4 linked regions of the Lepisosteus oculatus genome follow. The protein of the gene in region 1 interacts with the protein of each later gene in a biochemical or structural test. Links are inferred from orthologs where the notes say so. Each region holds a gene or a part of one and is shown on either strand. Other genes may lie near its edges. The genes, in order: ube2a, rad18, rnf40 and rnf20.

Region 1 (8,068 bases):
ATAACCCTGCATCTGCCAAGCCACTCCATACTGTCAGTCAGAACTAGGTGCAGCAGGGAACTTGGGCTCTCCTGTCTTTCTAGAATTCTACCAAAGAACAGTGTGCATCTCTCACACTCCCAGCCTCTTTATTCTTACCAAAGCCAGGAGGATAAAAAGCACATGGTCTCACCTGCCACTGATTCACTCTGTGTACAGGCCTACAAGAATCCAGCCCAGTTTGGAAAGGACTAGATATTCTCCAGTGAAATCAGACACTTTCTCCCAGCTACAGAAATGAATTCTTTATTTCTGAATTTAAACTCAGATGCACACACCTGGACTTACAGCCTAGATACTTTATTAAATCTCTTTGCTTAGTCTCTTAAGTTATTAACATGCAACAAATACAACATCTTGCTCAGGAATTAATCCAAATAAAAACAAGGGAACAGAAACTGACTCTTAAACGTGACATTAATATCAGATCTAACCACTCTCTAGAAAAATCCACAATAATTTAACGGCACAATGGTGCCTGGTGCCATTACATATTGAATGAATAAAATCACAATTAGGAACTTACCATCTTCAAATGGTGTTCCCTCGGGGCTACAGAAAGGAGAAAAAAAAAGAAAGAATTAGTGAACCTCAAAGCACAAACTAAAAAAGTGTTTTTCTTCCTTCAACAAAGAAAATCTAGAAGGTTAATCTGAGATTAAAAACTAATCACCATTTACATCAGAGCTGGTCATTGTAACCTTAGTGGCAACACTATCGGTAGGGCTACTGTGAACACAGCATTCATTTCTCAGGTTTTAGATTTCTATAGAAGTGAAACCTGTGGTTCTATTTTTTTAATAAAGCGCAGAAAAAGCATTAAGGAAAACAAATATACCATTACCTGCCTATCGCATTTGTATGAACAAAGGAAGTCTTAAAAAAATACAGACGTGCAATTATAACAGAAGTAAAAAAGTATAAAACGTGTCACCAGGTTCCTTCATTGTTATGTTAATAAAGAATGCAAGGCACAGAAACTTTTATCACACCCTTTACTCAGCCACCTCATCCGATTGCTCAGAAACAAGGCTGTGGGTTAGAAATGTTTAGTTAGTTTTCTTTGGGTGTGGTACTACCATTAATCCAGTTACTAAAAACCAGCCTTAATCCCACAGGTAGGAGACACCACACATCAGCGTTGTCTGAACTCCTTTGCATACTAATTTCCATAATTCTCAACCAACAGCCTAGATCTAGGCAGCGTTGATGCCGTCCACCCTTAGACACTGCAAATGATCTTTTTATTTTTTTCTATTTTCCCCCAATAAGGAATTAAGTCTCTGCGATGTGTCTGCTGTTATGGAATAGATTCAGCCCGAACTGAATCCAAGCGCAATTAGAACAGGTCGATGCTGGTCGCAGCTCAAGAGCCCGACAGTGCGGACAGCGGGGTCCGGGACCGGCTCTGGCCCAGTTTCGGAGCCCAGGCACCAGAGTGATCCATGACCCAGCAGGACAACACCGAACCACCGCCTGTTACGCCACTCAAGGCCTGTCGGGGTGTTGTGTGACGACCTGTTACGCGACTGACACCCGGGGAAAGTGCATTAACACCACCGGACCGGCCACCGACACAGCAGCGTCTTCTCCACGGACCAGCTGTCGCGCATTGGACTGCAAAGCCCCACTGGAAACAGGCCAGAGAAACGCATAGTCACATTGTATTTTTTTTTTTTTAAAGTACCATCGCTGAACTGATGTCGCTGGTCCGCCTTGAAAGAGCGCACCCGGGACGATTCAATGTAAAGTACGAGAAGAGTATTAAAAAAAGATAGTTGATCGCTTTTTAACATTTCCTTGTAGATGTAGACGCGTCACACGACAGGAACAGTCGGCTTCTGTTTTTTTTGTGTGAGAATCAACTGTGTGATAAACAGGACAAGCAGGACAGGGGGGGGGGCGGTCTTCTTTATGTTTTCCTTGGGACATTTCACAACACACACACACACCCCCTTCCCCCCACCAAAAACACAAACAAACCAACAAACTAAGGACAGACTCTGTGTCAGAAACAAAAACGTGTGGCCATGCGGAACAACTCAAATGAAAAACCGGCGACGGAGACAGTAACGCAAGACTGCTCCATAAAACGTTGAAGGAAAAACAAAATCGCGCAATTCCTAAAACGTGTATTTAACGCGAGGTGTCGGATACGTGTCGCGCAGCCAGGTGCTTTAAATAACCACCCTACACCGTGTCATACTTGTTGCCCAGCTGGAGGCACACGGACTGGGTATGAAAGAGACTTCGACAGCGCTGACGTCTCTAGAAAAGGGAAGGAAAAAGCCAGCCACTGGCGTAAAGACGCTGTCCGCACAATTGTCTTCACAAACTTCGCTCCCGGGACCCGGTGCTAACCGGCTCTCCCGGCCACAGCGCTTCTCTCCCGGCGGCTGGAAAGGGCAACCGACTCGACTACGGAAAATAAAGGCGGTGGATTAAAAACGCGCACGGCCCGCCACTTACCCGAAAATAACCGCATTCCAGACCATGATGTTGTTCTCCGAGGGCGCTCCGCTGACGCCCGCAGGGGGGTCCTCCTGCAGCCTGATTCACAGAGACAACACAAAATAACACACTGCCTTGTTTCTGAGAGATCCTGTCATCAAAACTCTTCCCTATCCCGGAACGGCCGTTACGCCACATTGCTCGCGTAGGCCCCGCGGTCTCCGCCGCGGCGGACGCTGCGAAACTTGCGTAGCGCTCGGTCCCACTCCGCACAGTTTCTGAATAGTCGCCATGTTCGCCTCCTCTTTTTTTTTTTTTTTCGGTCGCTACAAAACGCCCGAAGAAGCCTTCGACCCTCTTACCGTTTGAAGTCTCTCATTAAACGCCGTCTAGCTGGGGTTGACATCTTCGTGAAGGGGGAGGGAGGAAAAAAAAAGTTAAAAATGAAACATAAGGCGGTCGTTTTCTGATTTTAGACGCCGGGAAGTCGAGCGCGACTCGGTTTTTTTAACCCCACAACCGAAGACGTATCTGACGCCCGTGCGGCTCTGTTTCCCGAGCCGGGAACTCGGAGGACTCAGGGCGATACCAACTCCGCCGCCCTGCCGTGGGGGAGGACCAACCCTATGTGGGCTCGGCCCGGCTCAAAACCACCCAACATTAAATCCCGTTTCCACCGCCCAGGGTCGGGGAAAATAAAGCAGCGGCTGTTCAATTCTCCAGTACTCCGGTTACTGCGAGCTCAAGTTTTGAAAGAGACGTGTTTTGCGCCGACAACCCCCCCCCCTCCTCCTCCTCCGGGTTTCAGAAGCCTATCGATCACAATGTGATTTTTTTTGTTCATTGCTTTGCTGGGTTAGTCTTGGCGTCAAATGTTTACCTGCAGGGCTGAAATACTGAGCGTGAACCAGACGTTTTTGCTTCCCCGACAAATGCCCTTTTTTTAAACAGTCCTCTAATTAAAGAAATCACCAAAAAACATGTATACCATGCAAGAGCATTTGACAACCCGAGCCCAATTTATATGCGATTTGCTTTGCAGGTTAATTTTGCTTTATTACAAATCAAGTATAAACGGTATTCACTCAGTGACATCTTTGGCAATCAGTACTAATTTTGTTGTTAAACGATAATCCATACTATAATTTGACAGAAACCGAACATTTATATGTCGCCAAACTATTCAATCTAACAGACGTCTTCCAGGGCTGAAATAAGACCAAAAATATGGAACAAGGTCACGATTTCATAGGTAGTTGTGACTATGGATACAGTAATGTCATTAAGTCAAATAAAGCAAAATTTTAGTGTATAGAATCTGAATATTTTTAATTCCAAAAAAGACAATTAAAATAAATGTAATTTATTGAAAAATGATTAACAAGCATAATCCAAGAAATACCTATGGATAAACACAAGAAATACAAAGTGCCCTCAGCAACTGGTAACGTTCAAAACACTCAATACGGATCACATATTCAGGATTGCTAAAACTCAGTGAATCTGCCCCCATCCCTTTCCATTAAAAATAGGAGAAAATGACTCTAACCATCCAAAAATTAATTCTGTGCGATACTACTCTGAAGCAGAAGTATTTTTTAAAAGTTATAAAAATGACTGTATGTACGTTTTCTAGGCTAACTTGGTCCGTTTACAGTAGAAACCACCATTCCTCCCAAATTAAAATTAAATACTGTACAATAAAGTCTCGCAGTTCACCCCCGTACAGAATCTGCTAAACCGACCAACCTGCCGCTGGTTCAGAAGAGGGTGAAGGAGGATTCTGGGAGGAACACAGAGTTAAGTAGGTCTGGTGTTAATAGCAGCATCCGTGTTAAACAGCAGAATCAGAGTTTCAAAGAGTCAACGAGTAACAGACGAGAAATTCACAGTGAGATATTCCTTGTTTTGAGGGGACCACAGCCTGCTGCAAGCAAACTGTCAAGAGAGCACTTTACTGGAACCAGAGCTAAATAAAATCATTTTAATTGCACTTACGCCCTCTCAAACCTAGAGTGGCCATGTGGTCACGGAAGAAACAACCCTGCCACGAGGGGGAAAAAAAAATCTAATTGTGCCTTTTCCACCCATTACGGCTCATATTAATTTATTACTTTGGGTTAATAGGAGTCGATACAGAAAGTAACAAAAAAGGAGACTATAAACATGTAAACATGCTCACTCGATGGGCACCGCAGGAATGTGAAACAACTGATTTTTAACACAAAACGCATCTCTTCTCGTATCTGAGGAAACGCAGAGGGACGTTTTACAGCACGCAGGCTGTGGATGCCTTCGGTGGCGTACGATACAGATGATGAACGGGTTGTGCAAATTTAACTGCACGACTACACAAAAGCATGTTGATGAACCCAGGAGAAGCAGGACATTCCAATACGTCCTGTTCGGACCCTTTCAAGAGTTTAACAACCTTCCAGCTACACTGTGTTTGGCACGTCACACCAGAGCTCCAAGATGTACTTAGTCTCAATATACAGGCTCTCGGCTCTTGAAGTTGCTTCAGCGCCCCCCTGTGGCGGTTCTGCTCGGGGTCACAGAGGGCTGCTCAGGCAGGACAAGGCTGGCACTTTCAGGGAAGGGTCTTCGGGCACCAGCTTCCTCAACAGGAACGAGAGCAACATCTGCAGAAACAGAACAGGAAGGCTCACATCCCTCTCATTAACCTTGTGATGAGTTAGCTGAGAAACAGAAAAAAAACTGTTCTGTTAATTGGCTTCTTTGGTGCTCTTTATTCTCTTCTTATAAGCAAAGGTTTTAATTATTGTTATTAATAATAAATAATAATAACAATAATAATAATTCCTTACACTTTATAAAGCAATTTTCTTGACACCCCACTCAACTTGCTTTACAGGTCACGGGGATCCCCTTCACCACCACCAGTGTGCAGCCCCACCTGGATGATGCGCCAGTACTCTCACACACACCAGCTCTCAGTGGGGAGGAGTGCAGTGATGAAGCCAGTTCAGAGATGGGGATTATTAGGAGGCCATGATTGGTAAGGGCCAATGGGAAATTTGGCCAGGACGCCGGGGTTACACCCCTACTCTTTTCAAGAAACCCTGGGAGTTTTAATGACCACAGAGAGTCAGGACCTCTGTTTTATGTCTGATCCAAAGGACGGCGCCTGTTTACAGTACAGTGTCCCCGTCACTATACTGGGGCATTAGGACCCACACAGACTACAGGGTGAGCGCCCCCTGCTGGCCCCACTAACACCACTAGAGTTATACACACAGTGCCGCTATCATCATGTCTGGCATTACTCCGTGTCCTGTACAGAGATCTACTCACATAAACCAGCTTCTTGTTCTCTGCTTCGTTTTGGAAGACATCAAGTATGGCATCGACGTCGCTTTTATTTAAGACTTTTTTTAAATCTGAAAAAAGGAGAAAGGGCCGGCGTTAACACATCGCCCTCCAGCCCCGGCTCTCGGGGGGCCGGACGGGAGTGGGGGGGGGGGCGCGGCACACTCACACGGCACTTTGGTCTGCAGCAGCTCCCGTGCCTTCTGCTTGGTCTCGGCCCTCTGCTCGGCGGTCCTCTCCGGGGCCGGGCTGGGGCCGGGGCTGGGGCCGGCCGGCTGCCCCGCGGGCCACTGTTTCTCCCGCAGCGTGTCGATGTAGGAGGCCAGCCGGGCCTCCGTGAGGTTCAGGGTCCTGAAGTAAGCGTCCAGGTTCCTGGAGAGCGGCAGACACGCACAGACGTGAGGCCACAGCTCTGCCGGGTGAGCGCCTCGTCTGGCATGGCAGGCAACATCAGTTATTCCGAATCATCAGTTATTGCTTGAAGGCCTTGAGTTATTACAGGGTGATTGAAACAAGTGCCACTATCCGTTTAGAATTTCCTGGCCTGATTTCTGAGTTACCGTCATGAGAGAGTACGACACGCAATTGCTGAAGAGTTCGCTTCTCGGCTCCTTACATCAGCGGAGGCATTCTGCTGAGGTCCTGAGCGACTGTGGTTTCCTTCTATGCCGACGGCACACTGCAGGCTGCTGGCCGGTTATGACATCGCACAGCCTTGCCTTGTCAGCCCTTCCTCACCTCCTGCAGCACCAGGGCTTCTCATTCTCTGCAGTTAGTCTTCCTCACTTCCACAGTTTAACAAAAGCATTAGCCTTCAACTAGCTACAGAAGAAAAAAGAAGTCTACTTACTTCTCCAAGTTCAGCACCGGCAGTTTGCAAACAAAACGAGCCAGGTTAACAAAGATATTCCCTGGAAGAAAATGACAAACATTTACGTAAGGTTTCATATAGCAGATTCAAACCGTTTTTATTTAATCGCCCTCAGTGCAGATAACGGACTCTTAAACTGCCATTTTGAAAAGAGAATAATTAAGAATTAAATTCTTTAGTCATTTGTGTCACTGACAGATGTGTTTCATGAACCCTGCGTGCGCGTGCGCGCTGCGATGGACTGGTGTCCTGTCCAGGATGTACCCTGCCTTGCTGGCCAAATTAGGCTCTGTTACATATTGTGGATTTGAAAACGGATCGATGGATTGTGTTTGATTCAAAGACCTATACTGCAAAAACTATTTGCTCCAGAGTAAACAGATCTCATACAAATTCAGATGTGGTAAACAGGGTTTCACAAGCAAAGGCAGTACACACAAAGAACCACAGGCAGTGGGACACCTTTTTCCCTGGCTCATCCTACACAGAAGAGCACATTAAGCCACAGTGCAACTGGAACGTGTTGGAATCGGGAATCACTTGTGTGCAGTCTCGGGACATACCCCCCATCTCCTTGAGCAGATCGCAGACAGCAGCGGAGATGTCCAGGTTGCTGGTCTTGTTCTGCTGCTGCTCCTGGCCCTTCTTCTCGTTCCTCTCCTTGCTCTCCTGGGCCTGTTCTCCGGTGGCCGGGCCACGCCCGGGCCCTCTCGGAAACCGGCTGGCTTTTTTCATCTTGAAACTTTTGAAGGGGGCAGTCGGGCCGTCCCCAAAACTGCGCTGCAGGGCATCGGCTGAGACGGAGAGCCGTTTGCTGAGGGGACAAGGTTCTGGCAGATCCGCTTGACCAGGGTGCCAGTCGGGCCGGAGTTCCCTGAATTCCAGGTTAGAGTGGCTCGATTCTGCTGCACCAGCTCCGCCTGGCCAGGGGACTCTGGCAGACCCATCACCTGCTCGGGCGTCTCTGTTTCTGCTGCTGTCTGCTGGCTCTTTGGTGTGGGCGCTGGGGAGGCTGGCAGGACAGGAGCCAAGGACGTCTCCGGAGCTCCCAGTGTCCGTTTCCAAGCCCACACCTGGGCTGTCACCATCCAGGCACTGTGGCACCCCATTGGGGCATTCAATACCATCTCTACTGCCACCCTGAGGATGACAAGCAAGCCACTGGGTACCAGGTGAGTCACATTCCCTGAACCACACACTTTATAACTGGCAGCTGCACTTCAAGTGGCAGACTAATGCAGACACCTTTCAAAACACAAACCCCAGGATAACAGCCTTCTAAACCATCGCCAGAGTGCGAATGCATTTGATTCTACCACAGCACAGGCAAGGAGATGACTAGGGCACCTTGTCACAAGAACAAACTTCCAATTTTGC
Region 2 (7,161 bases), on another chromosome or scaffold:
ATGTGTGCAATATGTGATAATGAATTCTCACACATAAATGTGTAGGGCATAATTTTGACCAAAGTAAGGTGCAATGCATGTGCCAACAACATTGCCACTATTGTTTTGCACAGTCAAAGAGCCATAAAACAGCACTATCTGTGTCTAAACTGAGTGCTTAAGAAGGAGACCCGTGAGAAATACTTTCTGTTGTAATTATATATATATAATAATAATAATAATTGCTTACACTTATATAGCGCTTTTCTGGACACTCCACTCAAAGCGCTTATATATGAATTACACTGAATTGCAGTCCATACCATCACATCTCCAGCTTCAGATACACCCACGTTTGAAACAATGCGGATGGTACTTCTTTGCTTTATGCCCTATGCCCACTGTTGTGCTACATCAGAAAGGCCCATGACCCTCCACTTAATACAACGTTGTTCCAATTTTACTATGCACATTGCACCGTACCCTGTCAGAAATGTCTATGTCTACATTGTCTATAGCATTTTCTTGCCAGTGTCTGTATTTGCACCGAAGACCCAGAGAACAATATCCAGATCCTCTGTATACTTGTATATGGCTGGACTGACAAATTAACTTGAACTTGAATTTGCCTTGGGCCAGTTTCAGTTGCCCAAGCATGACATGTTGCCCTATGATGGTTATTCAACAGCAACCCTATGTGTACAATGGGTTCTTATGCCTTCATTCTCAAGACACTATCTTTCTGTCTGGGAGCTGGTCTGGATATGTAGACATCCAGGTGACTGGGCAGTAGGTTAGGATGCAGGACTATTTATTTCATCCTCCGAGATATCTCAATGGGATATACCTCAAACAGGTGTGGTGACTCATGGCCACTTGGTTACCGTCAGTAACAAGTTAAACTCGTGTGAAGCACACCAGTGTCTATTTCCCCTAAATGCTGACATACTTGCCCTCGGCATCCCAATGGCCTCTTCTTTTCTACCCTACCATGGCTGTGGAAGCCATGGGATTTTGTTTCAGCCATGTTTGTGCACACAGTTGCAGACGCAGTAACATCTGAACATCATAGTGATCACATCTACATTTGCATACATGCCTACGATACAAATGACTGAAATGGGTTTTGCACATTTGGTTAACTAATAGTGCAGAATTATTCTCTTTCTGATAAACTGAACCCCTTACTTTTGGAAAAATATTGGCAACAAGACCGTGTTGCCTTTTTAATGCCTCCCAGTATATAAAACTCAAGTCATGTTTTTTGTTTTCTCTCTCTAGCTTAAATGCTTGAACTGACAAAATATTTGAAACCATAAGAAGATAGTCTTAACCTTCCAAAATCAGTGGGGATTATAAAATAATCAGTTTGGTTCTGCTTTGTCAAATGCCATTGATGTTGATCAGATACTGAAATAACATACAAGCATAATAGTATTTAAAGCACTCAGATACAGCACCTTTACACCCAAAGAAAGCACCACAGACAAAACATTGTTTCTTTTCTTCTCTTTTCAGCGTGAAATCAACATTTACTTGTTCCCATACAGTATTTCCCCCTGACCAAAAACAGTGCAAGAAATAGAACTATTTAAATCTAATTAGAAATGTCAGCTTCTGGTTGTATAGAAACTGCTTACAGATATGAAATTTCATTCTTCCTTCAACATCCACATCAGATATTTCTTACCAAAATACTGTATGTAGGCCTGTTCATTGGTGACAACCACATGATTTCAGAAAACATTTAGGTATAGGTTTTCTAATCCACGCAAAATGCCATTGTTACATAAATATGCTATGGAACAATGGTAATTTGCACGTATAAGGAAAGTTTTAAAACAAGAATACTTTACTTACCGAATTACATACTGGACACTTCAGTTTGTAGGACAGAAATTTCCGTATACATAAAGAGCAAACTGAAAGCAACAAACATATTTTTAATATGAATCCACACTACAGCACAGTATAACAACACCATTGCAGGAGGCAGCTTCTATACTTAAAATGTTCAAGCACATTTTTTTTATAGAATTACATGATTTGAGCTCTCTGATATAATTAAAAAGGAACATTTAAAATCTATCGAAATTATTTAAGCACTTAGTAAAAAACGTGACCAAATAAACATTTTGGTTTAAAGTTTTGCTTGGAAACAAAAATAATGTACTTATGTTTTACAAATCTCAAACTGAAATGTGTACTCACAGTTATGGGAACAGTGCTGAACCATCATTGAAATGTCCAGATAATCAAAGCAGATTGGACATCTAAACAAAGAATCTAGATTCTAAAAACAAAGAGAGTCCATAACTTGAGTTGGCTATTCTACAAGCAACTACTGTACTCTGTAATTTCATCTACACTACAGTAAACTACTATTTATTTTCCATTCTTAAGAACGACGCACACAACAGTGTAAATATTTTACAAAGTGAAACATCACAGCTCCTTGAATGAAATAAAAGGTGCGATGGCAAAAAGACTGCTGTGTAAATACGAGCACATAAACTGTAGTATTTGGTTACAAATGATAGGCCAATCCAAAATGCTTGAAAAAGGAAAAATCCGCAGTTTGAAAATAATCGCAACTTTTATTACCTAAAAAAATATTACCTAAGTTCAAAGGATCTGTTCTCACGGTGCACACTTAACAGTAAGTTTCGGTTGTCTCATGACCTACTACTTCTTGACATCACATGGTATCAATTTTGTGGATATATAGCATAAACGTATATTAAGGCACTTTGCTTACACTAAGGAGCATTAATCATACAGTGCCTAAATAAGAGTTGCACTGACGTTTCCTTCACTTACTTTGAGATGACACAAATTAGGGGGGATTTCCGCTTCAGTAAAGCTTTGTGACATTTTATAAACACTTGATAAAATACTCCTTCTTTAACTTCAAATTTTAAGAAAAAGAACCTGACTGCAAATACACTTATTATTTAACACTCCCGCGCCAGTGCCGGAAGTTGAGTAAAAGCTTCCGCAGTGAAAATCGTCACTTCCTGCAGTGAAGAGTGAACTGGATGTTGTAGGCTTGATAGAATCTGCAATGATCACAGTACATTACTAATTTTTACGTATGTTTACGGCTGTAAACCTTAGTGTACGAAGTTCCACTGTCTTTATCCAATCTTACTTCTTCTATTCCTATGTTAGTAGCACAAATGAGCGCAGAGAAAATAATTACTGTTTCCATTGAGCTTCTACACATAGGACATTTGCAGTGCAAGCACTCAAGAGTGCCGCGCGTCCATGACAAAATCGCCTCCACCGGAAAATAAGCGAAAAATAAGGAACTGCCCCAAAACGAAAATCACTGGTGAGGCGGGCCTTTCACCCCCACTTCGGTCAGGTGCATTATTAGATCTCAAAAGAACTTTAAAAACTGTGATACCTCGAAGCGCCTGCAGGTTCCTATTTACTGATTTACAGGGCATTCTCTTATCAACAGGAGGGTTATTTTGGTAATAATGGGCTAGTTCTTTATTTAGCAATGTCAAGTGAATACAAATTATTTTTTTTATAATGGAACAAGTAATAGGTTTATTCCATGCTGAAAAAAAGAAGAAAGAGAACACAACCTGAACTATTTTTTATAATGATGACCTGGGGAGCCATTTATTCAGCAGGTTACTGACTGGAGTAATTTGAGTGAATTACCTTGCTTAAGGGTACAATGGCAGTGTCTTACCTGGGATATGAACTCACAGCTATCTGGACTGGATTCCAGAGTCCTAATTACTTCTCCATGCTGCACATTCAAATTGCCTAAAAGAAGATCTTGTGTAATGGAGAGGTATTTTTTATCACCAATTCAGAAATAATTATAATAATAAAAAACATTTTTATTTTATATAGCGCCTTTAAAGGTGGCTTCTCAAAGCGCTTTACAGAATGACAACAACAATAAATAAAACAAATACACAAGATAAAACACAATTACAATACACAGAGGAGACCATGGATGGTGGTTCTAAGTATAGTAGGAGCAGAGGGGTAAAGAATGGAACCAGTTAAGTAAAGGCTCTTATGAGTCTGGATTTGAAGGAGTTAAGAGGAGGTGACTCCGATATCCTTGGGAAGAGAGTTCCAGAGCTTGGGGGCATAGCAGGAGATGGCCCTGTCACTCATAGAATGTTGAAGGGCTTGGGGAACAGTTAGGAGACCAGAATTAGAAGAGGTTGCGAGGTGGGAAGTAGGGCGATAATAGTTCAGACAGGTACTGAAGTGTCAAACCATGCAGAACCTTATAGGTGAGCATGAGGATTTTAAAGTCCACATGGAATTTGACAAAAAGCCAGTGCAAGGACTCCAGGATAGGAGTATTGTGATCACTTGCACTAGACCTGGTCAGGATCCTGGCTGCCAAATTTTGGACTTACTGCAGTTTGTTCAATGTAGATTTAGATACCTCAGCGAGCAGAGCATTACAGTAGTCAGTTCAGGAGAACACAAATGTGTTGATCAGCTTTTCAGCCACAGTTAGTGGCTGAAAAATAACTGTTTTAATCTATGACAACTAATGAATATTTTGCGTATTTCCCATCTACCTGAAGTTTGGGTGAATTCATTGCAGACTATACTCAGACACCCTTGAACAATGACATACAGTATTAAGCAATGAATTGTATTGTGGAGTTAAATGATTTGGAATTCTAATCAGGTAGTCCAGTATAAGAAGCCATTAATCACGTGTCTTGGATCAGAGATACAGTCATTTTCAAGTACACACTCACATAGGGTCCATAATAACAAAAATTCAATTTCCAATAATAAAGCACCATCTATTTTTGAAAGCTGACCTGACTGTTTATTCTGTTTTGCATCATTACTGTACCCTCTCTTGGGGTGAGTGTCAAGTTAGGAATACAGTATGCTTCTCAGTATTAACCTAAAGGAGAGTGTTTTCTTACTAAAAACAATCTTTCTGATCTTCATCTGTACATAATTATCTGAACTCATTCAGTCATATGCATACTAACCTCTGGGGGATGAAAAATACTTTTCATTTTGTGGATCAAACTAAACCAAGTATTCAAGTATCTTCACCATGTTCCTGCATCATCATCATCACCACCACCAACATCTAGCACCCAGCTGGATCACGCAATGTCAGCCAAAATGCACCAGTAGACATCAGATGTCAGTGGGGAGGAGAACATAGTAGTGAAGCCAATTCATAGATGGGGATTATTAGGAGGGCATTATTGGTAAAGGCCAAGGTAACATTTGGCCAGGACACTGGGATAACACCCCAACTCTTTTTTTGAGAAATGCCCTGGGATTTTTAGTGGCCACAGACATTTGCTTTACATCTCATCCAATACTATTTTACAGTATATTGTATAGCTGCAGTATATATGAATTAGATACAGTATATCCAATATTATATAATAGCTTTGTTTGCCATGATGGTCACAAAATGATAGTATATAAAAAAGTAGTTTAAAATTATTTGTTTTGAAAGAATATACATTGTCCATACAATTTCCCTACGACACTTCCTGAGCTTTTGCAGAAAACTGAATTAAAGTCAAAACCCATTTTGTGGATGTTTTAAAGTAAACAAAGTTATGGATGGGGGGTCTATATTTAAGATACTGATCCACAAAGCAGGCAGTTTTATTGGTAATGTGGGGAAGAACATTGAGCTGTATTATTATTTTGAGAATAACCTCTTTAAGAACATAATGGCTAAAAATAAATCTGAGCTTTCTGATCGTATCCTTTGCCTTGACACAGAGGATTAACATTCCCATTTCCATCTGATCTAGACCAGTTACAGTAGACTAGACTGAAAACTGTCTCTCAGAAAAAAAAAAATCAATAAACTGAAGTGGTGAGGGAAGCAGAAACAAGGTCAACAAGTCGGGCTTTTGTTAATTCAACAGAAGAACAGCTCCAAGCATTGCATTTATTAAATACTGACACCCATACTACCTTTACACATCTAGATTCTCATAACTCTACAATTGGATTTTCAGTTTTCATTTTGAAAGTTAACCTGTGCCCAGTTCACAAGACTGTTCACAACATTTCACAACACGGACTTTTAAATGCCGTCTTTATCACTTGTTAAGAAGTTAAAATGTGGTTTTGTAGAATGAATGCAGTAATCTAGTTTCTTAAAATCAAAATGTGTCTTTCTCTTGTCTCATCCTATTGAGGCTGCTGTGAATAAAGCCATTTCTAAATCTAATATTTCCGTTGCCCATCTGTGTTCTATAAACTATGTGTCATGTATCCAGTACATGGATATAAATCAAGAGACCGTCATTACATTTGTTATATAATTCAAAAGCCTAGTGGCATTAAAAAGACAGTAAATAAATTAAGAGTGTTATAATTCATGACTCAGAACTGAAGCACCATATAGTGGTTTTCTATTCTATACTTTCTATATTACAATTTAATAACATTCAACTCATTAATCAATTTTAAAGGTGTTTATTGCAATCTGACTTCTTTAAATACCCAGTTTCTGAAATACATTTATGTTCAGTCCAGTGTTTGGTGTCATTATATTTAATAGTGTCAAAACACGTGAAATGACCTTTTCCTTTCAGTTTCCAATTTAACTTAGATGCCTACAGTGTACAAGATGCTGTTCTCTTTTACTGAACATTACAGCTGAGCAGGTTGCTAATGATAACTATATCTCTTACAGGCAGTGAGTGCCACGTGCTCGGAAAACACATGTTCCTTAGAGTGATGTGGACTTTTCTATTAATCTTTAAGATTAACACTACGCTTTCTTCTGAACTTTTGTCTCAAAAATGTACCTTTAAAATACATTAATTGGAAGTTGCTAGGCAAACATAAGTAGAATTAAAATATGTTTTTTTTTTCTTTGCATCTCTGAGCTGCTGACCTCCAGCATCCCACTGATATGATGGTTTTCTAGGGTCTTTCATTTTTAACAACTCAAATGTTCTTTCTCTATGACATACTGCCACTGAAAATAGAGCATTTATTACTTCTTAAGCTCCATGTGCTGACATGTACTGTGCAGCACAGAAGCTCATAAAGAATGGTGAAGTGCTACAAGAACTGCCTTTGCATGGCTTGGATATAGTTCTCACATAAAACTAGAAAATTTGACAAGAACCCATTATCCATCAGTAGTTCCCTGGCAACCTCTGACTTTCAGTTATTTAATTATATATA
Region 3 (7,158 bases), on another chromosome or scaffold:
CCCAGAGCGCGGCGACACTCGGGACTGCGCCCCAGAGCGGGGCGACACTCGGGACTGCGCCCCAGAGCGCGGCGACACTCGGGACTGCGCCCCAGAGCGCGGCGACACTCGGGACTGCGCCCCAGAGCGCGGCGACACTCGGGACTGCGCCCCAGAGCGGGGCGTGTGGGGGGTCAACACTCGGGACTGCGCCCCAGAGCGCGGCGACACTCGGGACTGCGCCCCAGAGCGCGGCGACACTCGGGACTGCGCCCCAGAGCGCGGCGACACTCGGGACTGGCCCCAGAGCGGGGCGTGTGGGGGTCTACACTCGGGACTGCGCCCCAGAGCGGGGCGACACTCGGGGCTGGCCCCAGAGCGGGGCGTGTGGGGGGTCTACACTCGGGACTGCGCCCCAGAGCGCGGCGACACTCGGGACTGCGCCCCCAGAGCGCGGCGACACTCGGGACTGCGCCCCCAGAGCGCGGCGACACTCGGGGCTGGCCCCAGAGCGGGGCGTGTGGGGGGTCAACACTCGGGGCTGGCCCCAGAGCGGGGCGTGTGGGGGGTCTACACTCGGGACTGCGCCCCAGAGCGCGGCGACACTCGGGACTGCGCCCCCAGAGCGCGGCGACACTCGGGGCTGGCCCCAGAGCGGGGCGTGTGGGGGTCTACACTCGGGACTGCGCCCCAGAGCGCGGCGACACTCGGGACTGCGCCCCAGAGCGCGGCAAAACTCGGGGCTGGCCCCAGAGCGGGGCGTGTGGGGGGTCAACACTCGGGGCTGGCCCCAGAGCGGGGCGTGTGGGGGGTCTACACTCGGGACTGCGCCCCAGAGCGCGGCGACACTCGGGACTGCGCCCCAGAGCGGGGCGTGTGGGGGGTCTACACTCGGGACTGCGCCCCAGAGCGGGGCGTGTGGGGGGTCTACACTCGGGACTGTGCCCCAGAGTGGGGCGTGTGGGGGGTCTACACTCGGGACTGCGCCCCAGAGCGGGGGGGATGCAGGGTGGCAGAAGACAGTGGCTGACCGTAGAGGACACCCCTCCAAGGCGGATGGGCTCGATCAGAGTGGTGGTAGTCTTCTCCTCCCTTTTCCCTTTCTTCTCGGGGGGCCCCGGTGGGCTGTCTCCTCCTCCTGCTCCCCGCTTTCCTGCCCCTGCCCCTGACATGATCACTGACACTGCACGCCTCCTCCTGGCACTCCAAGAGCTACACCTGCAGAGACAGAGCCGTTTGTACATGACCAGTACATTAACACTGCACTGAGAGAGAGGGGTTCATACAGACACACTGACTGACTGGACACTCCAGTACATTAACACTGCACTGAGAGAGAGGGGTTCATACAGACACACTGACTGGACACTCCAGTACATTAACACTGCACTGAGAGAGAGGGGTTCATACAGACACACTGACTGACTGGACACTCCAGTACATTAACACTGCACTGAGAGAGAGGGGTTCATACAGACACACTGACTGACTGGACACTCCAGTACATTAACACTGCACTGAGAGAGAGGGGTTAATACAGACACACTGACTGACTGGACACTCCAGTACATTAACACTGCACTGAGAGAGAGGGGTTCATACAGACAGACTGACTGACTGGACACTCCAGGACATTAACACTGCACTGAGAGAGAGGGGTTCATACAGACACACTGACTGACTGGACACTCCAGTACATTAACACTGCACTGAGAGAGAGGGGTTCATACAGACACACTGACTGACTGGACACTCCAGTACATTAACACTGCACTGAGAGAGAGGGGTTCATACAGACACACTGACTGACTGGACACTCCAGTACATTAACACTGCACTGAGAGAGGGGTTCATACAGACACACTGACTGGACACTCCAGTACATTAACACTGCACTGAGAGAGAGGGGTTCATACAGACACACTGACTGGACACTCCAGTACATTAACACTGCACTGAGAGAGAGGGGTTCATACAGACACACTGACTGGACACTCCAGTACATTAACACTGCACTGAGAGAGAGGGGTTCATACAGACACACTTACTGACTGGACACTCCAGTACATTAACACTGCACTGAGAGAGAGGGGTTCATACAGACACACTGACTGACTGGACACTCCAGTACATTAACACTGCACTGAGAGAGAGGGGTTCATACAGACACACTGACTGACTGGACACTCCAGTACATTAACACTGCACTGAGAGAGAGGGGTTCATACAGACACACTGACTGACTGGACACTCCAGTACATTAACACTGCACTGAGAGAGAGGGGTTCATACAGACACACTGACTGACTGGACACTCCAGTACATTAACACTGCACTGAGAGAGAGGGGTTCATACAGACACACTGACTGACTGGACACTCCAGTACATTAACACTGCACTGAGAGAGAGGGGTTCATACAGACACACTGACTGACTGGACACTCCAGTACATTAACACTGCACTGAGAGAGAGGGGTTCATACAGACACACTGACTGACTGGACACTCCAGTACATTAACACTGCACTGAGAGAGAGGGGTTCATACAGACACACTGACTGACTGGACACTCCAGTACATTAACACTGCACTGAGAGAGAAGGGTTAATACAGACACACTGACTGACTGGACACTACAGTACACTAACACTGCACTGACAGAGAAGGGTTATTTAAGACACGGCTTGTACAGAACATTAAATTGGCCAATTTTTTTCAGTAACCTTCAGTCCTTCCACGTCTTCAGCGAAGAGAGATGTGGGTTGATCTGTAAGATTCCTGACAGACACATTTTTTGACAAAACGAACATCTGATGTTAGGCAGTGGACCTACTATCCTAGTAGGCGGGTCTTCCTAACGGTGTTCCTGTCCTGTTAGCATGACGCCCGATGCCCTCACTCTCCTGCACGACTGCAGTGTGCCCACCGTGAGCCGATCAGCGCTGCGGCGGCTGTTTGGCCCCGATCTCCGCACCCGACACGCAGAGCGATCCGCGTCCTTCTCCGTCTCCTCACCGCTGAGTTGACGTAGGACCTCGAAGGGAGTCACAACCGAGTAAACTGCTAATCTGGCACGATTTTTTCACGGAAAGTAATAAATTCACGAACAGAAAAGTGAACAAACCTCAGCGACTGTGACAGCGGCTCGCAATACAACACATCCTCCTCGTCACCCGGAAGTATATGTCGGACCGGCGCATTTCCGGGTCTCGCTCACGGGAAGAGGTTCCGGAAGCATCACGCAGAGGAAGCTGGGTTTCAGTTGCTGTGGAAACGAGCGAGACGCTCTTGACGCTACCGAAGGGGGTGGAGATGTTATTGTAGTTTAAATGATTAATCTTTTTATAACATTTAAGCATTACTGAAGGCTTTTTCATCCTAAACGCTAACCTCAGAATTCTGGGCTAAGATACGTTTTCAGAAAATCATCTTAGAATGAAGGGAGAAGGCCTTTTGACAATGGTAAGACTTCGTCTCAGCGTGGTCGGGCTAGCCATCTGGTACCGGCTTTGCTCTGCTTTTGCAAAAAGATAACATTCTGAAAAAATGGGTTAACAACAACACGGCCTGACTATTGTTTTTGTGGGTTTGTTCTCTCTCCTCTCCTATCTTGTCCAACACCTTCTCTCTCCTCGCCTGTCCTATCCTACTCAGTCCCTCTCCCTCTCTACTCCCCCCTCCTGTCCTGTCCGTCTCACCCTCTCTCCTCTCCTACTCCCTCTGTCCCTCTCTCTCTCCTGTCCCACTGCCTCTCTCTCCTCTCTTTCTCTCCTGTCCCTCTCTCCTCTTTCTCCTGTCCCTCTGTCTCTTCTGTCCCATTGCTTCTCTCTCCTGTCCCTCTCCTCTCTCTCTCCTGTCCCTCTCCCTCTCTCCCTTCTGTCCCATTGCCTCTCTCTCTCTCTCCTGTCCCTCTGTCTCTTCTGTCCCATTGCCTCTCTCTCCTGTCCCTCTCCTTCTCTCTCTCCTATCTCACTCCCTTTGTCCCTCACCCTCTCTCTCCCTCAGTCTTTCTGATAACGCCCTGTCCCCTGTGCTCTTGTCTCTGCAGCCTCGCCCTCTGAAGCCCAGAGTCCTGCTGTGGTGAGTTCAGTCTCCCTCTCCTGCAGCTTGTTCTGCACTATTAAAATGCAGGCTTGTGAGATGGGCTCTGTCCTTATCCTGATGTGATTCAGGTTGGAAACTGGCAGACACAGTTTTTTGCAGTTTGTGTTTCCCAGTGATTCCCCCAAGCTGACGTAGTACCAGTTAGGTAAGACCTGAACTGGACAGAGATGTTATTAAGCCTGCTGTGTTTATGGGAGCTCCCTTCACGATGATGGCTTATAAAACAAACACATCTGACAGCAGCTACATGACCCTGCAGCTCACAGCTTGCAACCCACTGAAGGGAGACTCCTGGGAAAGCTGAGCTTGCTGCTGGAAGAGATGTTAGTGGGGCCAGTAGGGGGCGCCCCAGCATAGTGATGGGGACACTATACTGTAAAAAGGCATCGTCCTTCTGATGAGACGTGAAACCGAGGTCCTGACTCTCTGTGGTCATTAAAAATCCCAGGGTGTTTCTTGAAAAGAGTAGAGGTGTTACCCCAGTGTCCTGCCAAAATTTCCCCCTATCCTTTACTAATCATGTCCTCCTAATAACCCCCCTCTCTGAACTGGCTTCATCACTCTGCTCTCCTCCCCACTGAGAGCTGGTGTGTGTGAGCAGACTGGAGCATCATCCAGGAGAGGAGACCCCATTACCTGTAAAGAGCTTTGAGTGGAGTGTCCAGAAAAGCGCTATAAAGGTGTGAGATTATTATTATTATATGATTATTATTACATCTTGGACGGGTAGTTATTGCTGAGATCCCTGCAGGGTAGCTGATGCCGTGGGGCGCAGGGGCGCCCCAGCAGTCTGGTCAGGGCAGTCAGTGACTCCGGCCGTCTGTGTGCAGGGCAGACCTCAGCTACGCCGACATGGAGGAGGTGGAGGCGGCGCAGACGACAGAGGAGCTGCAGAGGTCAGACCCAGAGCCTCCATACGTGTGTTAGCGGTCCGATTTCACCCGCCGCGGCGCTTTCGTAAGGGCCTCGTGGCAGGGACGCTCAGCTGAGCCACCAGTGCAGTGTGAACTCTCCCCCCCTCTGGCTCTCTCTCCCTCAGAGCGCTGGGCAGGGCGCTGGCTCTGCAGCTGTCCCGGCCCAGTGACAGCATCCTGGCCGACATGTACCTGTACGCTGTGCTGTTCTGCAGAGAGAGGCAGTTTAACAGGGAACAGACCTCAGTGCTGGTGTCCATCGTCAGAGCCCTGCACCTCGCCAATACTGGTAATCACAGCTCTGTGACCCCACACAGGAACCCCACAATGCCACTGTCTGTGACCCCACACTGTTTCACCATGCAGGAACCCCAAGCTGTAACCCCACACTGCCACTGTCTGTGACCCTACACTGTAACACCACACTGCCACTGTCTGTGACCCTACACTGTAACACCACACTGCCACTGTCTGTGACCCTACACTGTAACACCACACTGCCACTGTCTGTGACCCTACACTGTAACCCCACACTGCCACTGTCTGTGACCCTACACTGTAACACCACACTGCTGCTGTCTGTAACCCCACACCTCTGCTGTCTGTGACCCCACACTGTGAAGGAGAAGGAATAGCTGTGTTCTCATATCCTAGTCAGATTGAAAGGGGAGGCAATCCAGAGTGCAACTCTTCATAGCAACAGTAACCTGACTGGTGGACTTTCATTCCAGAGACGCCCCTCAACAACATGGAGTACTGCTTCAACTACTTCACTGAGCTGGTCCTGTGCCACTGCGTCAGGGTCAGTGTGTCTGTCACTGTCTCACTGCTCTGAGCTGGCTGTCTCTGTGTTTCACTGCTCTGAGCTGTCTGTCTGTGTCTCTACCTTGAGCTGTCTGTATGTCACTGTGTCTCACTGCTCTGAGCTGTCTGTCTCTGTGTCTCACACTCTGAGCTGTCTGTTTCTACCAGGTTACAAGTAGGTAGTGTATGTCAGTGTGTTAGCCCACATGTCTGTGTGCTGGGTGTTTAAAAATGATCTGGTCTCTCCCCCTCCCCGCTGTGTCCCTCTCTCCAGCGCCCTCCCTTCAGTATTGACCTCTTCAGCCCAGAGCAGGCCACACAGATCACAGAGTACCTCGTCAACACCTACTTCAGGCACTACGCCCTGTACAAGTACACCTTCACTCCCCAGGTGCTGAATGCCTGCAGCTTTTTCTGCCATTTCACAGACTCACTCTGCCCACCTGTCTGACTGACTGACTGACTGACTACTGATCTGTCTCACAGTCTGTCCACCTGTCTGACTGACTGACTACTGATCTGTCTCACAATCTTTCCACCTGTCAGACTGATTGACTACTGATGTGTCTCACACTCTGTCCACCTTTCTGGCTGACTGGCTGCTGATCTGTCTCACACTCTGCCCACCTATCTGACTGACTGGCTGCTGTTCTGTCTCACACTCTGCCCACCTGTCTGACTGACTGACTACTGATCTGTCTCGCACTCTGTCCACCTGTCTGTCTGACTGATGATCTGTCTCATATTCTGTGCACCAGTCTGTCTGACTGACTGCTGATCTGTCTCTCACTCTGTCCGCCTGACTGTCTGCTGGCCTGTCGCCCTCTTGCAGGTGAGACTGGACCTCTCTCTGACCTACTGCGGGATGCCTGAGGCCGAGGCAGTGGACAGTGACTCCCTGGAGCCAGGTACTGGCGCCACGCAGCAGCCCCAGCTCACACTGAGGCCTGTGTGCAGCATGTGGAGTCTCAGTGCCAGCGTATCCTCTCCACTGTAGAGCACTGCTGTCCCACCCTGGTCCCTGAGGCCAGTGTGTGGACCCCTGAGGGTTTGATCAGGTCGGTAAGATGATCAGTTCAAGGAAGTCAGGAACAGCCACTCAATCTGAAACACGACTGCTAAATCTCACCAGGCCTCACTTTGCGGTTTTGTTACACAGCAGAGTCTTTCATTGGCTGAAGCAACATGATTGATCTCAGCTGTTGTCAGCTCATAAACCTGCTGAATGCCCCTGTAAACCACTGCGGGTCATAAACTACAACCCAAAACTTCAGAGCAGGAAAAGACACTTGCAAAATTCCAGTCAGTCAAATCGCAAGCTCAATGAAGGCATCAGTTAAGTAATTGAGTAATCAC
Region 4 (7,827 bases), on another chromosome or scaffold:
GCTACAGTCCCAGTACAGTAGAACAGTCCTGTTACAATAGGGGCTACAGTCCCAGCGCAGTAGAACAGTCCAGTTACAATAGGGGCTACAGTCCCAGTACAGTAGAACAGTCTTGTTACAATAGGAGCTACAGTCCCAGTGCAGGAGAACAGTCCTGTTACAATAGGGGCTACAGTCCCAGTACAGTAGAACAGTCCTGTTACAATAGGAGCTACAGTCCCAGTACAGTAGAGCAGTCCTGTTACAATAGGAGCTACAGTCCCAGTACAGTAGAGCAACCTGCTACAATAGGAGCAACAGTCCCAGTGCAGTAGAACAGTCCTGTTACAATAGGAGCTACAGTCCCAGTGCAGGAAAACAGTCCAGTTACAATAAGAGCTACAGTCCCAGTACAGTAGAGCAACCTGCTACAATAGGAGCTACAGTCCCAGTACTGTAGAGCAGTCCTGTTACAATAGGAGCTACAGTCCCAGTACAGTAGAGCAGTCCTGTTAGAACAGGAGTGTTAATGGCCAGCTGCAGCTCCACTCTGTCAGAGTGCAGTGTTCACGCTGGGCTTGGCTGATTTCACTGACTGGGGGAGCAAAGATCAGCACTCTGTGGAACAAACACAGCAGTAAACACACTAGGCTGAATTCAAACCTTGCTATTGTGCTGAATTCCCTCTGTTCTCTCTGTATCTTTCCAGCTCTCTCTATCTCACTATATCTCCAACACATAGTATCTCCTCTCACTCCCTGCCCATCCTGCCCCACAACCCAGACAGAGTACTGCATCATCCTTCCTTACAGCACCATCTCTCAAACTCTCTCTCTCAGTGCAGTGTTAATGTCCTGTAGTGTCCAGTCAGTGTGTCTGGACTGTATTAACCCCTCTCTCTCAGTGCAGTGTTAATGTACTGTAGTGTCCAGTCAGTGTGTCTGGACTGTATTAACCCCTCTCTCTCAGTGCAGTATTAATGTCCTGTAGTGTCCAGTCAGTGTGTCTGGACTGTATTAACCCCTCTCTCTCAGTGCAGTGTTAATGTCCTGTAGTGTCCAGTCAGTGTGTCTGGACTGTATTAACCCCTCTCAGTGCAGTGTTAATGTCCTGTAGTGTCCAGTCAGTGTGTCTGGACTGTATTAACCCCTCTCTCTCAGTGCAGTGTTAATGTCCTGTAGTGTCCAGTCAGTGTGTCTGGACTGTATTAACCCCTCTCAGTGCAGTGTTAATGTCCTGTAGTGTCCAGTCAGTGTGTCTGGACTGTATTAACCCCTCTCTCTCAGTGCAGTGTTAATGTCCTGTAGTGTCCAGTCAGTGTGTCTGGACTGTATTAACCCCTCTCTCTCAGTGCAGTGTTAATGTCCCGTAGTGTCCAGTCAGTGTGTCTGTACTGTATTAACCCCTCTCTCTCAGTGCAGTGTTAATGTCCTGTAGTGTCCAGTCAGTGTGTCTGGACTGTATTAACCCCTCAGTCTCTGTGTGCAGGAAAGGCAGGCAGGCTGTAACAGGGGGTAACAGGTGTAACTGGGAGAAGGAGAGAGATTTGGCCCCAGAAAGATAGATTCCCCTTCACCTGTAAATCCTCTTACGTAAGCCATCCCCACATGGGTAAGGACAGATACTGGGGTGCTCCTAGTGTACCCCAGCTTGGTGGTGCCTGTCCTGTCTCTCAAAGCAGTGTCTGGGCAGACAGCTGGGGTCCCCACGCGCAGGCTCATGTGTGTTGAGTGAAGGGACTGAAACACCGACTGTGCTGTCTGTGTCAGAGCTCATCCCACGTTCCATGGCATCGAGCCCTCAGAGGGCACGTGGTCCCGTCACAGAGCCTTTCCCCAGCAGGGCTGGTCCCCACCTTTCCACTGGGGTACAGCCCCTCCCTCCAGGTACAACTGCAGTGTCCGCAGCAGGAGTTCGAAGCCACAATCCCAGACACCCACCATGCTGCCCTCTGGAACTGGCAAGAGGCAGACAGAATACAGCAGTGCAGTGGAAACAGGAAATACTGGAAACAAGAGGAGCCAAAACAACACGCACATGTCCCAATCAGGCTAGAGCAGCAAGAGGACAACGTTGGTTGTCACTGGTGCCTTTATTGAGGCTGCTCTCTACATGGACGGACAGCACGGGTTTGAAAAGTAAGGCTTTGATTGAATTGTCAGAGCTCCACAAACAAGCACCCAGGACTGAAACTACACTAAATTTCCCTCATGGGGTCAATAAAGTATCTATCATCTATCTAAAGAACACAAGAAGATATATCTTCTTACAGGTGTGAGCAGTGGAGTGTCTCAGGTGACAGGTGTGAGCAGTGGAGTGTCTGATTGGGCAGGTGTGAGCAGTGGAGTGTCTCAGATGTCAGGTGTGAGCAGTGGAGTGTCTCAGGTGACAGGTGTGAGCAGTGGAGTGTTTCATGTGACAGGTGTGAGCAGTAGAGTGTCTGATTGGGCAGGTGTGAGCAGTGGAGTGTCTCAGATGTCAGGTGTGAGCAGTGGAGTGTCTCAGATAACAGGTGTGAGCAGTAGAGTGTCTGATTGGGCAGGTGTGAGCAGTGGAGTGTCTCAGGTGACACGTGTGAGCAGTGGAGTCTCTCAGATGTCAGGTGTGAGCAGTGGAGTGTTTCAGATGTCAGGTGTGAGCAGTGGAGTGTCTCAGATGACAGGTGTGAGCAGTGAAGTGTCTCAGATAACAGGTGTGAGCAGTGCAGTGTCTCAGATAACAGGTGTGAGCAGTAGAGTGTCTGATTGGGCAGGTGTGAGCAGTGGTTGTGAAGATCAGACACACTGCCTGCTATGAATCTGTTCATTTTGACTCAGGGTTCCCAATATTCTGGCCACTGAGTGTACATGTACATGCTGGAAATGTAAATGATATTCCTAGAGTTCTCATTGAGTGATGTTGATAAATGTTGTTTTGTGTCATGTTATTGTACTGTTGTTGCATTGTATTTATGTCGTATATAGTATGTTATATTTTTATGAGCTCTTGATCTGCAAGACAAATTCCCTTAGAGCCAATAAAGATTGATTAACTAAATTATAAATACACAGTTCAGTACAGAAAGAGACAAACATGGCCACATCTCCCTAGACTGAAACACAGACCACAATGAATGTGGTTAAGATTTAACTCCCAGATCTAATCATTCTTACCCAGAAATTGCTCCATGATTCAGTCAGGCAGTGCTATCTTTCCAAGCACTGCAGATAAGAGAAAGTTACACAATGTGAACCCTGACCCACAGCTGAAGTATTAGCTTCCAGAAAGATACCGTGCTGCAGTTTGATGCAGGACTGAATTGATATTAATTTCTCTGTCTATTAAGTAGCTGTCTGGTTATGCAATGAGTTGAAGATTATTATGAGGCGTCAAAGGTATGGTTCTGTATGGAACAGTCCTGGCTTGCCTTTCACTTAGACTCCTCGACAGGGAAGATCAGACCTTCTCTGAGTGTAGCCCAGTGCGCTACAGTGACACACTGAGCACTCCTGTCTGAGTGTAGCCCAGTGCGCTACAGTGACACACTGAGCACTCCTGTCAGAGTGTAGCCCAGTGCGCTACAGTGACACACTGAGCACTCCTGTCAGAGTGTAGCCCAGTGCGCTACAGTGACACACTGAGCACTCCTGTCTGAGTGTAGCCCAGTGCGGTACAGTGACACACTGAGCACTCCTGTCAGAGTGTAGCCCAGTGCGGTACAGTGACACACTGAGCACTCCTGTCAGAGTGTAGCCCAGTGCGCTACAGTGACACACTGAGCACTCCTGTCTGAGTTTAGCCCAGTGCGCTATAGTGACACACTGAGCACTCCTGTCAGAGTGTAGCCCAGTGCGCTATAGTGACACACTGAGCACTCCTGTCAGAGTGTAGCCCAGTGCGCTATAGTGACACACTGAGGATTCACATCAAATAAATATAATTTTCTTCTTGCATCCATTTTCTAAGTACTCCAGTTCAGGGTTGTGGGGGAGTCGGAGTCTATCCCAGTAAGCAGTGGGTGAAAGGCACAGCACACCCTGGATGGGACACCTGTCCATCACAGTGCACACAGAAACACACACACACACCAGGGCCTGTTTTCCCAGAAGCTAATTAACCTGACAGTATGTCTTTGGACTGTGGGAGGAAACCAGCATGAACACAGGGAGAACATATCAACTTCACACAGACAGCACCCCAGGAATTAAATCCATGGTCTTAACAAGGCTAACCGCTTGTGCCACCTGATTTATATCTCCGTTAGTACTACCAATAATAAGAATAATGGAACAAGTCATAGGTTTATTCCAGGCTGAAAAGAGGAGAAAGAAAACACAACGTTTTGGCCGTGGAGCCTTCTTCAGGTGTGAGGGTGTGTGTGTAAGCTCACACCTGAAGAAGCCTCCACGGCCAAAACGTTGGGTTTTCTTTCTCCTCTTTTCAGCATGGATTAAACCTATTACTTGTTCCTTCGCAGCCTAAGCATGCTGACGCAGCTACCCAGCTGAAGTGTAATACTAATAATAATGTCACAGGAGCAGTATTATCAGTTGAGGTGATCCCACAGTAATCGAGGCCCTGCCCAGGCCGATATGACCTCCCACCACCAGGTGGCGCGATACCGTCCCGAGAGCCGCGCACAGCGCCCCGCCAACAAATAAAGCAGGTTGTGGTTTAACTTCCGCTTCCGTAAGCAGGAGACGGGGATAGAGAGGGTGGGAGCTGGAGGTGTACACAAATCTAAAACATGAATCATTGAGACCGGCGTTAAAGGCAAGACTTCGGGAGAACTTTCGGTAAGAAAACGAAGACGCTATGAGTGACTTTAGCGCAGGAGGTGAATGAGAAGATAACGTTAGTGTTGTGTAGTTGCCCTGGTCGTGTAGTGGTGTACGTGTGTGTAAGCTGTGTGTTTGTGTGTTGGGTGTAGCGCTGAGTTTATATCAGCATCTTTCTGTGCTGATATAAAAGATTTTCTGCGTTAGATAGTAAAATTACTAGAGATCACTGCTCTCTCCAGCAGAGAGAAACTACGGGGGCTCATCGGTCTCCCTGTTAGTAAACTTCCCGGGGCTCACCGCTCTCCCTGTTAGTAAAATTACTGGGGCTCCCCGGCTTCTGTCAGAGACAGCGAAATTAATTCTCATCTGTACAAGAGCTTGCAGCAGGTTAACGCTGGAGAGGCGCAGACTGCTGGGCAGTGGGAGTTTGCCTGCCTGTCCTACCTGCAGCCACTTCATGAAATGAGTCTTGAATTGGTTTGCTCAACCAGCTATGCTCAAGACTTTCTTATAATGGAGCATGTCACCAGCTCTGGGGTGTGTAGTCACTCAGGGCGTGTGTGCCCTCCATCAAGAGAGTTTATCTGTCTGAATGTGCAAGGAAGCTGAGTCTCCCTTCATTCGGAGTATTCCTGATCCTGATTCCCAACAGAGACTACTTCAGGCCATCCAGAGGCCAGAAAGCCCTTTTCCAGTCCTGGCTCTGTATCGGCCCTGTCTCTGCGCATCACTCTGATGGTGCTGTGTTCTCTGGCTCTCTGGAGTTTGCAGCTGAGCTTCTTTCACTGGCTCTCCGGGTCTTCACTCGAGCTGAGCTCTCTTGTGCTCTCCGGACACTGGAGCGAGCAGGATGTGGCGTTTGAGCTGCCCTGTGGGGTTTATCGGCTGTTACAGGGACGCAGGTAGATTCTCCAGGAGGCCCCTGGCAGCAGGCAGAGGACTTTAAACAACTTGACACCCCAATGTCTTTAAAACGCCCCACACTAGGGGGCTGATCTGAGACGCCGTCGCAATCAACAGAAACTGAATCGGACGAGTTTCAGAGATTCCCTGAGCTTCTGTGCCGGGAAGAGTGGTTGAGTCCTGAGACTTCAACTCTGCTTTTATTTGTTGCTTCGAGTCTAGGAAGGGGCTTTGCTGGGCCAAGGTGTGGAGAAACCAGGCTTGCCAGGGAGAGCAGTGTGTCTCCTCCTCTGGCTCAGGCGGACAGGCCTGCGGTCGCGTCTGGGCGAGAGGCTGAGAAAGTCTCACGCCTGCAGCACTTCCTGCCCCAGCTGCATCTTGGGAGCGGGCCGGTGCACCGTGGGATACGTGCCGCAGCTTGGCGCCGGCGCCATCTTGACCTGCTCTCTGTCCTAGGCTGGGCCAGCGATGTCGGGGCTGAAGCGCCCTGCTGACCCCCTGACCTCCGGGCCCCCCGAGAAGCGGCGGGAGCGAGAGAGGGAGGGGGAGAGGGAGGCGGAGGACGGGGGAGCTGCGGGCGGCAGCACCGCTGTGGAGACGGTCATCAAGCTGGGGGGAGTGTCCAACACTGTGAGTCCCACCCCCTGTCCAACATCAGGCCATCACCCTGGCTCTGTCAGCTGTCCATACACTGTCTCCTACCAGACTGATATTGTGAAGACGTCTTGTTACACATTTCTCTCAGTGCAGTATTAGTGTCCTGGAGTGTCCAGTCAGTGTGTCTGGACTGTATTAACCTCTCTCTCTCTCAGTGCAGTGTTAATGTACTGGAGTGTCCAGTCAGTGTGTCTGGACTGTATTAACCCCTCTCTCTCAGTGCAGTGTTAATGTCCTGTAGTGTCCAGTCAGTGTGTCTGGACTGTATTAACCCCTCTCTCTCAGTGCAGTGTTAATGTCCTGTAGTGTCCAGTCAGTGTGTTTGGACTGTATTAACCCCTCTCTCTCAGTGCAGTGTTAATGTCCTGTAGTGTCCAGTCAGTGTGTCTGGACTATATTAACCCCTCTCTCTCAGTGCAGTGTTAATGTACTGGAGTGTCCAGTCAGTGTGTCTGGACTGTATTAACCCCTCTCTCTCAGTGCAGTGTTAATGTCCTGTAGTGTCCAGTCAGTGTGTCTGTACTGTATTAACCCCTCTCTCTCAGTGCAGTGTTAATGTACTGGAGTGTCCAGTCAGTGTGTCTGGACTGTATTAACCCCTCTCTCTCTCAGTGCAGTGTTAATGTCCTGTAGTGTCCAGTCAGTGTGTCTGGACTGTATTAACCCCTCTCTCTCAGTGCAGTGTTAATGTCCTGTAGTGTCCAATCAGTGTGTCTGGACTGTATTAACCCCTCTCTCTCAGTGCAGTGTTAATGTCCTGTAGTGTCCAGTCAGTGTGTCTGGACTGTATTAACCCCTCTCTCTCTCAGGAGGAGCAGGATATCCGAGCTCTCCAGGTTAAGAACAGGAAGCTGGGAGAGGCTCTTGACCAGAGGCAGGTGATTGAGGATGAGCTGCGAGATCGAGCTGAGAGGCTGGAGAGACGGCAAGCAACTGATGATGCCAGTCTGCTCATCCTGAACCGCTACTGGAACCAGGTAATGCTCCACGCTGCTCAGGGCGTGCCCTGACGCCGGTCCATCGGCAGGTGCTGCTCACACACCACTGTGGCTATGAGAGGCTCAGTTTCCAGCAGCTGGAAAAGATGCCCGTGATGCTCAGGTGTGGCCATGCTACACTTGGAATGCTGGGGCCTTTTGTGGTTTCTGCTCAATATTTAATAACGATTCTGGACTTTATATCCTGCGTGTGGCTTATGTTTGCATTAATGTTTGCCAATGCAGATGAAGCAGATGGTCTAGACAGTCCTCATGATATGCGCGCTATCCATCTGTGTATCCTTTTGTGTATATCGCGCTGTGTATATCGCGCCCAGCCTCTGGATACGAGTGTGCCTGCGGTTGGACCTGTTGGTACGTTCAGTGCGCCTGTATTGACCTGCCACTCTCCCGCCCCCCCCCCCTCAGTTCGACGAGAACGTGCGCCTGATTGGCCGGCGCTACGACCTGCAGGCGGAGCTCGGGGACCTGCTGCCGCCCTCGGAGGGGCGGAGCCTGAAGCCGGAGACTCCTGAGCCGGATGGGGACAG

What was found.
Region 2: the proteins of ube2a (region 1) and rad18 form a complex in vitro, tested with the Homo sapiens proteins (12 studies listed by BioGRID, with this or other methods). The link is inferred for Lepisosteus oculatus from reciprocal best matches to the Homo sapiens genes UBE2A and RAD18.
Region 3: the proteins of ube2a (region 1) and rnf40 form a complex in vitro, tested with the Homo sapiens proteins (3 studies listed by BioGRID). The link is inferred for Lepisosteus oculatus from reciprocal best matches to the Homo sapiens genes UBE2A and RNF40.
Region 4: the proteins of ube2a (region 1) and rnf20 form a complex in vitro, tested with the Homo sapiens proteins (4 studies listed by BioGRID, with this or other methods). The link is inferred for Lepisosteus oculatus from reciprocal best matches to the Homo sapiens genes UBE2A and RNF20.

The regions. Positions count from the first base shown.
Region 1 is NC_090703.1:50,198,479-50,206,546, reverse strand, and holds the start of ube2a (ubiquitin-conjugating enzyme E2 A), read right to left. Parts: upstream 3,185-8,068; 5' UTR 2,897-3,184; coding exon 2,853-2,896; intron 2,590-2,852; coding exon 2,509-2,589; intron 592-2,508; coding exon 566-591; intron 1-565. Other genes in the region: uncharacterized protein, read right to left, coding at 5,043-5,132, 5,806-5,891, 5,990-6,192, 6,671-6,731, 7,255-7,831. UniProt on the Homo sapiens protein: E2 ubiquitin-conjugating enzyme that accepts ubiquitin from the ubiquitin-activating enzyme E1 and transfers it to a E3 ubiquitin-protein ligase. In vitro catalyzes 'Lys-11', as well as 'Lys-48'-linked polyubiquitination.
Region 2 is NC_090699.1:53,229,352-53,236,512, reverse strand, and holds the start of rad18 (E3 ubiquitin-protein ligase RAD18), read right to left. Parts: upstream 3,200-7,161; 5' UTR 2,854-3,199; coding exon 2,800-2,853; intron 2,273-2,799; coding exon 2,191-2,272; intron 1,902-2,190; coding exon 1,840-1,901; intron 1-1,839. UniProt on the Homo sapiens protein: E3 ubiquitin-protein ligase involved in postreplication repair of UV-damaged DNA. Postreplication repair functions in gap-filling of a daughter strand on replication of damaged DNA.
Region 3 is NC_090699.1:15,914,338-15,921,495, reverse strand, and holds the start of rnf40 (E3 ubiquitin-protein ligase BRE1B), read right to left. Parts: upstream 3,182-7,158; 5' UTR 3,105-3,181; exon of another isoform or gene 2,814-3,104; intron 2,803-2,813; exon of another isoform or gene 2,704-2,802; intron 1,198-2,703; 5' UTR 1,152-1,197; coding exon 1,011-1,151; intron 1-1,010. Other genes in the region: cfap119 (cilia- and flagella-associated protein 119), read left to right, coding at 3,416-3,442, 4,029-4,060, 4,915-4,980, 5,124-5,287, 5,730-5,800, 6,077-6,193, 6,635-6,710.
Region 4 is NC_090701.1:42,019,457-42,027,283, forward strand, and holds the start of rnf20 (E3 ubiquitin-protein ligase BRE1A), read left to right. Parts: upstream 1-4,648; 5' UTR 4,649-4,754; intron 4,755-6,098; 5' UTR 6,099-6,110; coding exon 6,111-6,272; intron 6,273-7,108; coding exon 7,109-7,276; intron 7,277-7,705; coding exon 7,706-7,827. UniProt on the Homo sapiens protein: Component of the RNF20/40 E3 ubiquitin-protein ligase complex that mediates monoubiquitination of 'Lys-120' of histone H2B (H2BK120ub1).